Cricetulus griseus: one gene and its partner. The protein of the gene in region 1 interacts with the protein of each later gene in a biochemical or structural test. Links are inferred from orthologs where the notes say so. Each region holds a gene or a part of one and is shown on either strand. Other genes may lie near its edges.

The links. The genes of interacting proteins can lie anywhere in the genome.
Region 2: the proteins of Tbp (region 1) and Drap1 are reported together in a solved structure, tested with the Homo sapiens proteins (2 studies listed by BioGRID, with this or other methods). The link is inferred for Cricetulus griseus from reciprocal best matches to the Homo sapiens genes TBP and DRAP1.

Annotation. Positions count from the first base shown.
Region 1 is NC_048595.1:294,439,333-294,446,906, reverse strand, and holds the start of Tbp (TATA-box-binding protein), read right to left. Parts: upstream 4,378-7,574; 5' UTR 4,238-4,377; intron 3,033-4,237; 5' UTR 2,984-3,032; intron 72-2,983; exon of another isoform or gene 67-71; 5' UTR 1-66. Other genes in the region: Psmb1 (proteasome subunit beta type-1), read left to right, coding at 6,102-6,211. UniProt on the Homo sapiens protein: The TFIID basal transcription factor complex plays a major role in the initiation of RNA polymerase II (Pol II)-dependent transcription.
Region 2 is NC_048596.1:53,911,381-53,918,759, reverse strand, and holds Drap1 (dr1-associated corepressor), read right to left. Parts: upstream 4,024-7,379; 5' UTR 3,818-4,023; coding exon 3,776-3,817; intron 3,536-3,775; coding exon 3,463-3,535; intron 3,376-3,462; coding exon 3,282-3,375; intron 2,992-3,281; coding exon 2,854-2,991; intron 2,774-2,853; coding exon 2,659-2,773; intron 2,475-2,658; coding exon 2,386-2,474; intron 2,037-2,385; coding exon 1,931-2,036; 3' UTR 1,826-1,930; downstream 1-1,825. Other genes in the region: CUNH11orf68 (UPF0696 protein C11orf68 homolog), read left to right, coding at 4,260-4,381, 5,034-5,790. UniProt on the Homo sapiens protein: The association of the DR1/DRAP1 heterodimer with TBP results in a functional repression of both activated and basal transcription of class II genes.

The DNA of each region.
Region 1 (7,574 bases):
TGCAAATTCTCTTTTGAAACTCCTTTAATTTTCTGGGTTATCTTCACACACCATGAAACAGTGATGCTGTGCTTGGGGGAAAAATGCTTTAAGTTTAAATAGGTTTCATATTCACACAAAACATACACACACAAAATCTATCCTGGAGAAATATATTTATCTTTCAATCCCAAAAGCCTATTGCTTTTGACATGACTATTTGGGCAAGAAACTGCTCTTGCCTGGACTGTTTGCCTGTATACCGTATATGGTGGACATGCAGTGCCCACAGGAAAGTGACTGCTGAACTGCTGAAACAAAATGGGACAGTCCTGCAGGGTTCCTGCTTCATGGAAATGTCTGCCAATACAGAAGGACAGTTTAAAATTTCCTGTTTCACTGAGAAGTCTGTCAGACACACTATGGCCTATGGGCCGAAGATGGATGTTCCAATGTTATAGAGGAACTTTGGGTGATTGACCAGGCAGTGAGATGTCTCTGTCAATTCTAGAGTTTATATACTATCCTTCTATGGTCTTTGATGGAGTTGAAGACAAATAGTTACAGTTACTGTTTTCCTTAGTTATGATAAAAGATAAGTTACACATAAGACTTTAGACTCACAAAGATAGGATAGATAGAATATTTTCTTTAAATCTTGCTAAATGTTAATGGACTAAATATTGTAACTATAGTTCTTACTTGATAACTGTTTTGTTATATGTAATTTTACCATGTTAAGGATAAAACCCTTTTTATTTAGAAAAGAGGAGATGATGTGGTGATGTCCTTCTGTGTATATGTTTCTCTTATTGGTTGATGAATAAACCAATAAACCTGGTTAGTGGCCAGGTAGAAAGAACTTGTTTTTGGTATGGGGGAACACCTAGAGAAAACTAATTCCTAAGCAAATTGTATTATCAGAGAATACTTTCTTAAGCAGTGTTTATACAGCACTATTAGGTCAATGCTGGTTTTTAAATATTCTCAGTTTTATACCCTTCACAATGTCTCAAGCATAAAGTGCCACAAATATTGAACTGGACACAATAAGCATATTGTGTAATCATTTTTAGCATAGGTAATCATTTTTGTGTTCCAATTTTAATTAAAGACAGATTAAACAATAAATGATACATCAATTTTATAAATACAATATTTATTCTTAACTCCTTAGAACATACTAATGAAAACTATGCCTGGAACTGGGCTTCATAAATCATCATTTTAGTGGCCATATTCAATATGCATATGGAATAAGAGACTATGTAAAGTTTTTTTTTTTTTTTTTTAAATTGGTAATGGTAGTGACAGAACATAGTCTCATAAATGCTAGGCAAATGCCCATCCCCAATTCTTTAAAGACATTTGTTTTAATCAAGTCAGTTCATGCAGACCAATAACTTGCTCAGAGATGCCCTAAGGACTGAATGAATCAACAATGGATGAACAAACTGAATGAGCTATCAATCAAGATGAATCTAATTGCGGGGCAGTGGAGGCACATACTTTTAATCCCAGCACATGGGAGGCAGAGGCAGGCAGATCTGAGTTCCAGGACAGCCAGGGCTACACAGAGAAAATGTGTATATGTATGTGGGGGGGGGAGGGAGAAGGGGGGGAGCGGGAGTGGGTGAATCTATATACACATAGTTAAGTACAGGACAGATATTATTACATTTTTAAAAAAAGGTTTTCATTTTATGTGTATGAGTATTTTGTATGCATGTATATATGCACATCACATGTGTAGTGCCTGCAGAAGTTAGAAAGGGAGTATTGGATTCCCTACAACTGGAGTTTCAGATAGTTGTGAGCTACCTACCATCTAGGTGCTGGGAACCAAACCCAGGTCCTCTATAATAGCAGTAACTCCTCTTAACCACTGAGCTATCTCCCCAGCCCAACAATCAGATCTTATTCTAAACATTTATTATCATCTAAAATTTACAAGTCTTATACTCACGACCCCTGGTCATTTTAAGTATATGCTGACACAGGCCTTCTTCTGATGTTACTAAATCAATCAAAGAATTTCATAATCTCTTTGAGAGGACAGAGGACCCAAAAGATACTCCTACAAACTCATTACTGAGAAGCACTTTTTCCTTTTGTTTTTCAAGACAGGGTTTTTCTGTGTAGTCCTGGCTGTCCTGGAACTCATTTTGTAGACCAGGCTGGCCTTTGAAATCACTGAGATGCACCTTTCTCTGACTCCCAAGTGCTGGGACTAAATCTGGTGCCCTCTTCTGGCCTGCAGGGATACATGCAGACAGAACACTATACATAATAAATCTTAAAAAAAGAAGGCCGGGTGTTAGTGCTGCATGCCTTTAATCCTAGCACTCGGGAGGCAGAGGCAGATCTCTGTGAGTTTGAGAGTGAGTGCCAGGATAGGCTCCAAAGCTTACACAGAGAAACCCTGTCTCGAAAACCAAAAAAAAAAAAAAAGAGAGAGATGCCTGTTTCTGAGAGATACTAGACATACAAGAGATACTAAATTTACAAGAAAATTACACTTTTTCTGATATCATCAGAAAATGTTATTATTCTGTAACAGAAGTGCTCCAGATACAAAGATAAAGATGAAGAGGATACAGTCCTTGTCAATATTAAAAAAAAATACAAATAACTGTAAAAAAATTAGCAAGCACTAAAATCACAGTTATTTACTAAGTAAGGCAAGATGCAAGAAACTAAAACCAGCATTCATGTCTTCAAATCTTTTCAATTAGGACTAGGCCTGGCATGCAGTGCATAACCATGAATGAATGCTATGGAAGAAAGAATGCAAACTAAAGTCAAGAGGCTGGAGAGCAGTTAGGAGCAATGTTGTTTTTCAGAAGGCCTAGGTTTGATTCCTAGCACCCACATGGCTGCTCACAACTAGCTGTAAATCCAGTCCCAGGCAACCAGTGCTCTCTGTCTTCCATGGACCCCAGGTATGCATGTGGTATACAAGCAGACATACAGGCAAAACATTCACATACATAAAGTTACGTACCGTTTGAGAGGCCAGATCTTTCACAAGCCAGGAGCAATTTAACACGGATCTAGCATGAGGAACAAAAATGTACGAATCAGCACACACAAAAAGTTAAAGTAAGACAAAGGCTAATATAATAGAGCATCCAGTATGTAAGTGACAGGCTTAGTATGGAAAGTCTCTACAAGAGATGACAAGCAACTATAGGAGGGTTACATAATTCGGAGTGTAAGATGTTATTACACAGGCAATGGGATTTCTTTCTTTTTTTTAATCTTTTGAGCAACGGTTTCTCTGTGTAGCTCTGTAGATCAGGCTGGCCTCTAACTCAGAGATCCGCTTGCCTCTGCCTCCCGAGTGCTGGGATCAAAGGCGTGCGCCACCACCTCTCTGCTGGGATGGGATAAATCTGAGAAAATTCAATTTCAGAGGTCACCGCTATAGTTGAGCGAAAAAGATAACGATGATTGGATGTAATTATAACCAGAGATTTACCCAGATCATTTCGTGCAAATCAAGTTTACCGAACCGGCTGATTATATGTAAGGCGGAAATTGGCAGAAGGCTACGCTACGCAGAGGTCACATCTCACACCTGCAGGCGATGTAAACCATCTTTCCTCACTTGTATCACAAACTCGAAAATAATCACTACACTAACTTATTCTTAGCCGGTTTTTTCAGGGTCTTCATCTTTTAGGAAACGCAGCCATCAAACTGAGTATCTGAGAAACAATTCTGCCGTCTTCACGCGCCTGCCTAACCCAGTACTGCTGTCTCTTCTCAGAAAAGTCTAACCCAGGGTTTCGGGAAAAACCACCCGCTAACCGGAGCCCAGAGACGGGAGAGCGAGCAAACCAAGCGGGGATCTCTGTCGTGCTCGAATCTCAGGCTGCTGCTGACGAGATGAGTTTAAGAGTCTCCAAACCGCTCCCTAACACAACTACCCTTACGGGGGAGCGGCCCCAGGCCTGGGTAAAAACCCGTCTTCTAATGGGGGGGGGGAGGAGCAGCCGAGGCGCGCGGTGCCGCCCGGTGCCAGTCCCTCAGGGAGGCTCACACTCGGCGCTGGGTTTGGAGGACCCCGCCGAAGCGGTGGCCCGGCGACTGGTACTTGCCGGCCGAGCTGCCGCGGCGCGCGCGGGGGACCGTTCCCCGCCGGGCCGCGCGCCCCACGCCCGCGTCTCCGCCGGCAGTCTCCGGGATGCCCGCCGCACAGGTCGCCTTGGTCAAGGCCCTCGGAGCAGAGGGAAAAAAGCCGAACGACCGTTACCTGGGCGCTGCGGAGAAAAAAATGACGCGACCGCAGAGAGAGAGCCAGCCAGCCAGCCAGCCAAACCGCCAGCAGCTACCCGCCACCGCTCCCGGACTCGACCCCGCCGAGGCCCGACGCACATCTGATGCCGTCACTTCCGGCAGTTGCGCTTTTTGACTGAAGCCCGGCACGGGCGGCGGATCCCTGGCTAAGGAAATGAGGGGGCGGGGCTCCCCAGAAGTTCCGGGGCGAGGATGGGGCTGGGGCGGGGCCCCCTGGACAACTCTTCCCGACCGGTTCTCGTTAGAGGCTGCAAACTTGGAGGGTGCAGAGGTGACTGTTGGGGATGTACGATAGGGGTGAAACTCAAGCAAGCGATCTGTCAATGAGCTACATCCTTGGCCTCCCATGGGTGTTGTTGTTTTGAAAAAGGGTTTCTCTGTGTAGCCTTGGCTGTCCTGGGACTCGTTCTGTAGATCAGGCTGGCCTCGAACTCAGATCCTCCTGCCTCTGCCGCCGGAGCGAGGGGATTAAGGGCGTAGGCTACCACGCCCTGCCAGTCGAATAGGATTTTGCACTTACAGTGTTACCCTCGGCAAGCTCCCTACATCCTCCACTTAACGCCATAAAGCTGAATGGTAGTAGCAGCTGCCTCCTAGAAATTTGTGATTTCAATGACACGAATAGCATACCCTCAGTGAAAGTTAACTGGTATCTGAAGAACGACAACGACACAGGGGAGGTGGAGTCACAAATTCATTTACATTTTAGCTCAGCGACGAACAGCTGACTTCTGGGCTGTTCCAAGAAAACAGCAGTTGTCTCTTAGGTTGCTTCTTAACGTTTGATTGAATTCCAGCGTATCTTGATTTCTTCTTGATATGGTTCACCTAGGCAGAAAGGAAGTTCTGCTTATTCCCTTTCCCTTGGATTTAGCACTATCAACGAGGTGATAAGCTCCTTTAGGTTAGGGGTGTGTGTGAGAGATGGATATTACCTGTGTGTGTTATGTGCCTAGGGTGTTGACCTCTGCATGGATTCTAATAAGTACAATAGTATTGGTTACCTATTTTCTTCTAAATGAAACATTCTCTCTTGGAAGAATAGTGAACCTTAAGACATTAAGAAAACTTAACAAAGGCCTGACAAGAGGCAACTTAAGAGAAGGAGGTTCCTTTTGGCATACGGCTTGAGGGGTACAGTCCACCATGGGGAAGCCTGACGTCTGGAGAAGGGGGGAGTCACACTGCATCCGCAGACCGGAAGTCTAAGGAGATGAATGTTAGTTTGCTTTCTTTCTTTTTTTCCCCCTCCTTTTTGTTCAGAAAGCCAGGCAATGGGATGGTGCCACCTATATTTAGGGTGGGTTTTCCCTTCTCAGCTACACTGTCCTGAAATCACCTGCATAAGCATGCCCGCGAGGTTTTACTAGGTGATTCTAGATTCTGTCAAGTTAATACGATCCATCAGGCTCTGGCTGGCGAAACCTAGTATCGCTTCCTGGATCGCGTGGCTGCGTATACCACACAGCTGACCATGCATCTTGACCACTAGGACTTGAACATAGCAGGAGCTGCAACTCCTCAAATGCCACTTCACCAATGTGACAATCGGAGCTGTCATTGCTCTGCAACTAGTTTTTGTTTTTTTGTTTGTTTTTGGTATGGCCATGAGTGAATCGAATGTTTTCTTGGGGTTGGAAAACAGGTCTCCTGGAATTAATTGGTGGACCCCAAGCTGGATATGTAGCGGGGCATAGGCACAGACCTCCAAGAGCAACGACGAGTGCGGGCTAGAGGAGCCCGGTGGGAGGGGCGGGTCGGGTCGGAAGTGGACCTGTCCCGGCGGCCATTTTGCTGTGAGACAGCAGGAGCGCGGTGTGATGCTCTCCACGGCTGCTTTCGGGAACCCCGAGCGGGAGCTGGGCATGGGGCCTCACGGCTCCGCCGTCCCTGTGCAGATGCGTTTCTCGCCGTATGCCTTCAACGGAGGGTAAAAGCTGGGCTCACCTGGGGCGGGCGGGCGGCTGTGGGGATGCAGCCTGTCGGGGCGCTCCGCAGCCCGGCTCCCGGAGCCCTGCACGGACGCCTTCGGGATCGCATGCTTCCCGCATTCCTCAGGGCAGGCGCCCACCCTAGCCCTCTGCTCCTAACACTGTCGTCTCTTGGGGCTTGAACACGTCCCCACAGCCAACGGGCGAGGGGGGCCCTGTCCTCAGCACTGATTTGTCCTGGTGGCTTTGTAGATCACTGTTTTGTTTTTTTTTTCTCTTAATGCTCGTTTGGTTTAAGTTCAGGGATGAAATAGGGGTTGTTTTGTTCTACTCTGCGACTTGGCCTGCTGGGCAGGTTCTGCTGAGCTGTGTCCCCGGCCTTAGACGGTTGACTATGTGTGAGTGTGTGTGTGTGTGTGTGCGCGCGTGTTCTGCTGAGCTGTGTCCCCGGCCTTAGACGGTTGCGTGTGTGTGTGTGTGTGTGTGTGTGTGTGTGTGTGTGTGTGTGTGTTCGTGTTCTGCTGAGCTGTGTCCCCGGCCTTAGACGGTTGCCTGTGTGTGTGTGTGTGTCGTGTTCTGCTGAGCTGTGTCCCCGGCCTTAGACGGTTGCCCCCCCCCGCTCTCTGTGTGTGTGTGTGTGTGTGTGTGTGTGTGTGTGTGTGTTCGTTCGTGTTCGTGTTCTTACTCTGAAATTGCTTGCGCCTTTAAATTATCCGCTTTGTTCGAAGGGATGTCTTCACCTCGAATTTAGGACCTTTGGCAATATAGGTAGTTTTCATCAATTTTATACCTATAAACAACCAATTATCAAAAAAATGTGGCTTGTTAAGAAAAACATTCAGGCAGTGGTGGTGGCGCATGCCTTTAATCCCAGAGGCAGAGGCAGGTATGGATATCTGTGAGTCGAAGCTAGCCTGGTCTACAGAGTGAGTTCCAGGACAGCCAGGGCTACACAGAGAAACCCTGTCTCGAAAAACAAAACAAAACGAAGAAGAAGAAAGAGGAGGAGACAGAAACGAAAAACAGTTGGGATAATCCCAGCACTCGGGAGGCAAAGGCCAGTCTGGTCTGCAGAGCCAGTTCCAGGGCTATAAGGAGAAACCTGTTTCAAGAAAAAAAGAAAAGAAAAAAGATTAATTATGTCTTTATGGATGCTGAAAATACACTATATAGGCAGTGAAATACTAATTTTAGCCTTGGTTGTGGCTTTTGAAGAACAAATGTGAGTGTGTGCTATGTGGGTTCCTTTCAGTTTCTTGAAATAATATGTTGAAAGAGACTCAAGGTGGTTACATTTTTGTAAGCTGGCTGCAAGCAGTTAAGGGAATATTTCATAGTGTTAGTCCTTGGCTCTTGGCATTT
Region 2 (7,379 bases), on another chromosome or scaffold:
CCAGTGTCCTCAGGGTTCAGTGCCCACACGTGTCTCTCAACCGCTGGAGTGGGCAGGTTACCAGCATCACCAGCTCAGGTGTGCTGACGATCAACGCCAACCCTACAGCAGTCACTGTGGCCCAATTGTGGCACCGACTCACCAGGATGTTCTATGTCTATTCAATTGTGGGGCCAGCTGCCCACACCTCAGGTTGGGGTGGAGCAGTCACAGGAGCACCCTTACAGGTCTGTCTCCAGCATCCAACCATTGCTATGTCTCAAGTCCTAAACCCTGCCCTAGCCTGTGGTCTTCTCTCACACAGCACAGGTGACTGCATCCTGCCTCACAGTCTCCATTAAGCTACTGCTCCTCAATGCTCACTTCAAACCCCCTCCCTATCCTCTCTCCCCCATGTTCTGATGTCCCCCTCCTGTCCCGTGCCCCATACTCTCTGAATATCTAAGATTCTGTCATTTTAAAATCTTTTCTTTTCTTTTTTTTTTTTTTTGCAGTGCCAGGGCTTTGTGAGTGTTAGGCAAGTGCCTCTCATCCTATCCAAACCTTTTGCCATCTTAAAAAGAAGGGGGCTGGAGACATGGCTCAGCATGCTCTTCCAAACAACCAGGGTTCACCAGGACCCACAAAGTGGCTGACAACCATATGTAACTAGTTCCAGGGGATTCAAAGCCCTCTTCTGTCCTCTGTTCATGCAGGCATTAAGTTACCCATACACATAGTACACATTTTACATTCCTGTAGTCCTTCCTCAGCCCCAGCATGGCTTCAGCTCCCTCCCCCTCAGTAACTACTGAAGCAGACATTAAGAATCCTCTTTGGGGATTCTTCCTTGCCCAAAGCATCTGACAACTGTCCTTTCCCTTCTACCAGACCATCGGGACAGCTCAGGGTGTGGCAGCTCCTGTGTCTTGCCTTCCCTTCCAAGTTCATATACCTGTCTCTGGGTGCCCATGTCAACATCACCAATCCACACTTCCTTCAGTGACCTCCAGAGCACCCCAAATTCATCATGGCCAAACTTGAGATCTTGTCTTTTCCTCCTGTGTCCCTCAGCTGAAAAAGTCCCTCCCTTGCCAAAGAGCTAAAGAAAGCTAGAAGAGGTACTTACAGAAACTCTCCCTTAGACCTCTGAAGCCTGCCTTCAAGCCTAAGGTCACACAGGCCTGGGCCTCCCCAGCCACCACCATCCTCATCCACACACCTAGCATGTCCCCAAGGTTCCCTCAACACCCCCATTAGGAGGAAGCCAGTGAGCTTGTTAGCAGATGGACCTACAATCTCCCTCGAGGTTTTTTTTTGGGGGGTTCAGGAACCCCACATGGCCATGTCCCCTGCTTTACTCATGATTGCAGCTTCTTGAAGCTACACCTCTTGCCTTTGGCACTGAGGCTGCCCAGCCTACTCAAACACAGGTAGGCAGACTGCCTGGCTCCAAAGCTGCTTCCCAGTCCCCCTGCTATCTCATCTACCCGACTCTTCACTGTGCTGAGCCCTTCACTGCACTGGTTGCAGAGCTCTATAGTTTTCAAGGCCCAATCTCAGTACTGATCCCATCTATCCTCTCTCAGCAGCCCAGAGAAGGCTGCCCAAGGCTCCACAGCACAATGAAAGGTTAACCTTTAGCACTTCCAGCATGTGGCCGCTCAGTCCCTAGACCACCTTCCTTTCTTCAGTGCTCCTGGTAGTACCCAGACTCCCCACTTTTTACTCAGGTACTGGTTGGCCCACTGTTGTCCCTGGCTGCCCCATGTGGGGAGGTAAGTAGGTTGGCAGTAAGAATGCAGCCACGAATCCCTGGACAAGGACGGAAAAGAAACCAAAATCCTCTTTCTTTTCTTTCTTTCTTTTTTTTAATAAATTTAATCTTCTCCCCAGAGCAACTAATACTAACTAAAAGGGGTATGTGGCCTGGGGTCAGGGGCAGTGAATGCTAGGAGTCATAGTCCTCTTCATCCTCTGCATCAGGTGCTGAGGGGCCAGGGGGCGCTGGGGGCAAAGGCAGAGGAGAGGTGAAGGGCATGAAGGGGGCTGGAGGGCTGCAGGGCAGAAAATGGAGAAAATCAGGGCATGCTACTGTGCCGTGCTGTGCCCAACCCACAGGCCCTGCCACCATGCTCCAGAACCAGATGTGGTATAAATCACCCATTATGTCACAGGAGCCAAGTGTTGTCCCCCCCAACACACACAGGAGAAAAGGGCCCAGAGAATAGCACTGTCCAGGTTTTCTTCCCAACTACAGTGGGAACAAGACCTCACAACATTCCCACTCCCTAAGTGAGCCTCCACCATCAATCATCACTACTACCACCACCAAGTGGCTAGGGAAGTGAAAATTGGCTCTGGGAAGTTTGGCATGTCCCCTTCTGGTGTCCCTGGGCTGAATACCTCTGAAAGGGGGCAGGGGGGTGACTGGCTTGGGGTGGAGGCTGTGGTGTCTCTTCTTCTCCATCAGTATCAGTGTCCTCGGACTCTTCCTGTGAGCACAGCAAGGGGTCAGGGTTCATGAGAGAAGGCCTGGGCCCATGGTTGGGGAGCCCAGACCCTAGGAGCGCAGGGATAGATAGGCCTTCAAAATGTATACATGGAGACAGAGGTACAAAAGGTCATAGATAAGGATAGGTGCAGGCTGCCTTTCCCGACCAAGCTGGCCTCACTCACCTCCTGTTCTGAGTCTGTCCCAGACAGCTTCTTGTCTTTGGCTTTACTTCCGGTGCCTCCATTCTTCCTGCCACTGCTGCCTGGTTTCCGGCCCCTTCGGGAAGGTGCAGTCCATCTGCCCAGAGGACTCTCTCCTCCTGTTCACCCCCCTGCCACCCCCAACCCTCGAGGCCTTGGCCTTTCCCACCTATATACCTGGTCTTGGCTACCCACCTTCGAGGACCCTTGTCCCCATCCATGTGGTTGTCTTCGCCATCCCCTTGCATGTCAGGCACGGATGCCACCAAGTCTTTCAAGAAGTCAAACTGCTGCTCCAGCTCAATGCACTGCTTCCTGGAAGAAGTGAGAAAGAAAGGCGTTCAAAGGGGTCCCAAACACTTCCGGAAGGACAGAAACAGCCTTTTCTTGTCATGACACTGGAAAATGATAAACTCCCCTCCCCACTTCCACCCGGCCTCGAGGGCTTGGCTCTCGTTATTCCCTCCACCTGGAACACCTAATCCCTCCTACATCAGTCCAAACCCACCAAACTGGCTCAAACTCACTCAGCCTTGCACCACTCCCCAGTCAGGACACTGCCTCCTCATAAGCCCTTCCCAGCTCTGCGGCCACTGGCCACTCACAGGTGGGACGTGGTCATGGTTTTGGCATTTCGAGACTGGGTCACCTGGCAAGCCTTCTTCAACAGGGACTCCAGGAAGAGTTCGAGCGCCCGCGCTGAGGGGCGTCAAGGAGAACCCGAGAAGCGGAGTGCCGAAGTCCCGCCCGACGCCCCTCAGCCCAGCCAGCCCCCTAGCAGGATACAGATGATGACAGGCACTGCAGCCGCCACCTTCCCAATCTCTTCGTCCGTCTGCATGATCTTCTTGATCCGCGCCTGCCGAAGGAAGGGGGCAGAGCTCGGACGCGGCCGCCGGCGTCCCTGCAGGAGGCTGGGGGCAGCAAAGGGGCACCCCGAGAGAAGGGGGCGGGAGGCACCACGCCAGGCGAGCACGGAGGGGGCGGGGCTTCAGGCCGCGAACACCTAAGGGCACCCGCACCCCCACCCCCAGCAGGACCTGGGCCCGAGCCTCCCGGGAGCCCGGCCCGCTGAGGCCCGGCCCAGCCACGTGCTCACCGGCGGAAACCGCGCGTTGTACTTCTTCTTCTTGCTTGGCATCTCGGGGCCTCTCTCGCCGCGCCGGGCCCAGCGCCGCCGCCCGCAGCCTACCGGCTCGGGGCCTGTTCGCCGCCGGCCCGCCGCGGTCCCCTCGGGTCCTGCTGCCGCCTGCTCCGCCCCCGCCGCTACCCGCAGGGTCCTAGCGCCGCCCGTCGAAAAGCAGCTCCCCAGACCCAGGCGCTCCGCTTTTGGAGCCTCGGAGGCGGAGCGCGTCCTTCTCAGGGCTCGCCCGCCACGCCCACCCGCCCCCAAGCTAGAAGTACGAACGTTGGCCCCGCCCCCTGCAGGCCGGCTCCTCCCAGGGGTCTCGCGCTGGCCACGCCCCTGACGCAGCCCGCCCCTTTTCATGGAGCCCCGCCCCCACGCGGCTGGTTCCGCCTCTGGCCCCGCCCCGTGACTGCGTTTGTCTATAAAGTTGTTGTTGAGGTGGCGGGACCCTAAGATGGCGGCGGCGGCGGCGGCCGTGGCAGGGGCGGGGCGCGGCGCGGGTGGCGGCGCGGACCCCGGGCAGGAACGGAGCCGGGCCCGAAGTTGGGTTGGTGCGGAACGGAGCGAAGGCCGAAGGTGACTGCGGGGCGGCGAGAGGGACAGCCCCGGGGTGGGGGCAACCCGTAGGCTGTGGGCACTAATGGCGGCGGGTGTGGTAGGACTGAGCCTGGCCCTCCCGCGGGCTCCATCCAGATGAGGTTCGAGTCTGGGTGGCGCCCATTGACCGCAGTGGGCCGCTGTCCTGCCCTCTCTAGGCCTCAGTGTCTCGGTCTTTAAATGGGCCCCAAATAGATGACCGAGGAGGCCTGGCCCTCCACAGCCACCTTTTAGGGTTGGCAAACAAACCTGCGTTTTGCCTATATTGCTTAAATCGCAGAGCCATGCTACCTGCTGGTCTCTAGTCAAGAGGTGTGGCAGAGTAGCCAATTCACACTTCAGCTGTTCACTCACTATAGGTGTGACCTTTTTTCTCTATAAAGTTTCAGTTTCCTTGTTTGTAAGCAGTGCAAGTAGTACTAACAATAGCGACTCCACCTCAGGCATTTTATTCTAGGAGACAAATCTAGGCAGGATCAGTTGTTATCCCATCGTGAACGTGAAGCAACTGAGGCACAGATATTAAGTCTTGCCCAAGGCCACACAGTTTAGCAGTGCCTGGCACCCTCCAGGACCCAGCACTTTGTACCTACTTTCTCAAACCTCCAATGACTCAGTTCCCTCACAACAGGATGGAACCAAATGAGGAGTTGGAAGAGGAGGACTCTCCCGGTGGCCGTGAGGATGGCTTCACTGCTGAGCACCTGGCTGCAGAGGCCATGGCAGCCGACATGGACCCCTGGCTGGTATTTGATGCCCGTACTACACCTGCCTCAGAGCTGGATGCCTGGTTGGCCAAGTACCCACCATCTCAAGTTACTCGCTATGGGGACCCGGGTTCACCCAACTCTGAACCTGTGGGTTGGATTGCAGCCTATGGGCAGGGTTACACCCCCAACTCAGGGGATGTTCAAGGGCTGCAGGCAGCCTGGGAGGCTCTGCAGACCAGTGGGCGGCCCATCACGCCAGGTACCCTGCGCCAGCTGGCTATCACCCACCATGTGCTCTCTGGCAAGTGGCTGATTCACTTGGCACCTGGCTTCAAGCTGGACCATGCCTGGGCTGGCATTGCCAGGGCTGTAGTTGAGGGCCGTCTTCAGGTGGCCAAGGTGAGCCCACGGGCCAAGGAGGGTGGGCGCCAGGTCATCTGTGTTTACACGGACGACTTCACGGACCGCTTGGGAGTGCTGGAGGCAGATTCTGCCATCCGTGCTGCGGGCATTAAGTGCTTGCTCACTTACAAACCTGATGTCTACACCTACCTGGGCATCTACCGAGCCAACCGCTGGCACCTTTGCCCCACTCTCTATGAGAGCCGTTTCCAGCTTGGAGGCAATGCCCGTGGCTCTCGAGTGCTGGACCGTGCCAACAATGTAGAACTGACCTAGTGGGGCCACATGGGAGAGAACAACTTTTGCTCTCCTGCTGGGGATGGATCCTTCTTTCTTCTCTTCCTTGTCCCAAGAAGGCCAAACTCCCTAGCTCTGAGGACTGATTGATTTGGGAACTGCCTGTACTCGGTCCCTTTGAACTTCTCTCTGTGCCGGGTTGACTCCAGCCCCCACAGGCTGGGGGCTTTGGCTCCCTGAGGGCCGGGCCCTCAGCCGCCCTCTTTGATGCTGCTCCCCGCCACTGCCCAGGACCACAGCTTGGGTGCAGATGCTCAAGAAAGCCTGCCCTGGTCACCTCTGTCCCCTACTATACTCAACCTGCATCTTCCTTTTCTTTCCTCCTTCATAAGGGAGAAAACTTAGTGCTTCCAGTCCCTGCCCTTGGTGATATTGTAGCCCAGGTGGCAGGGCCCCTACAGGACTGAGCATGCTGTTGGGGCCTATATATGTCTGGCCAAGAGAGGATGCAGGGTCATGGACATAGGGCCTGCTCCTCCCTGCAAACTCATAGCCCGCATCACCAACATCCCCTCCCTGACTACCTTGACGTGTGCCTGCTCCTGGCATTTCAATAAAACCCAGCTTGGGTCTGTGTCTTGAGGTTTTTTTTTTTTTAATACTGTCCTGATGGTTGCCTGCTTTGGCTCCCAGGAAAGGCAGGGCCAGAAGAGGCAAGTGTCTCTGACCTGACCAGGCTTTCTTTGTCTTCCTCCCTCAGCAATGAAGATGGTGTGTTTCACTGCTGAGGCGGTTTCATTTCTGAGAACCTCTACAAAGCTGATCTCCTGTAACCCATGGATCAGAACTAGTTTTGTAGGTCTTTCCAGGAAGGCGCAAGGGGGCTACTCTTTGACCTTTGTATTTGTTTTAGACTTTTAAGTTTTATTGAGGTGGGGGTCTTACTATGTAGTCCTGGCTGGTCTGGAACTCACTGTGTAGACCAAACTGGCCTCTGACTCAGAAATCCATTTGTCTCTGCCTCCCAAAGTGCAGGGTTTAAAGGCCTGTATCCCCAACTTTTAGGTTTTTAAAAAATTATGTTCGCGGTGGCACATGCCTTTAATCCCATCACTGGGGAGCCAGAGACTGGTGGATCTCTTGAATTCAACGCCAGCCTGGTCTGCATATTGAGTTCCAGGACAGCCTGGGCTACATAACAGACTCTGTCTTTAAAAAACAAACAAAAAAAGGTTCATAGCCTTTATTCCCAGCACTTGGGAGGCAGAGGCAGGTAGATCTCTTTGAGCTCAGGGGAGCAGGGACAGGGTTAAGAGGCTGGGGACTTTTCTAGGCACTTAAGAGCACTGATTACTCTTCCAGAGGACAGTACATTTAATTTCCCAGCATTCTCGTAATGGCTAGTAACATCTCCAACTACAGTTCCAGGGATAAGATGCCCTCTTCTGGTCTCTGCAGACACTGCACACATGGTACAGAGACATACATACAGGCAAAACACCCACCCATACACAAAAATGAATCTTTACAAACTATTAAAACCGATAAAATATAAATTTACTTTTTGGGTGGATGTAGAGACTAGTTTGTCCCATGTACACATTTGGAGGTCAGAGAACAACTTGGAG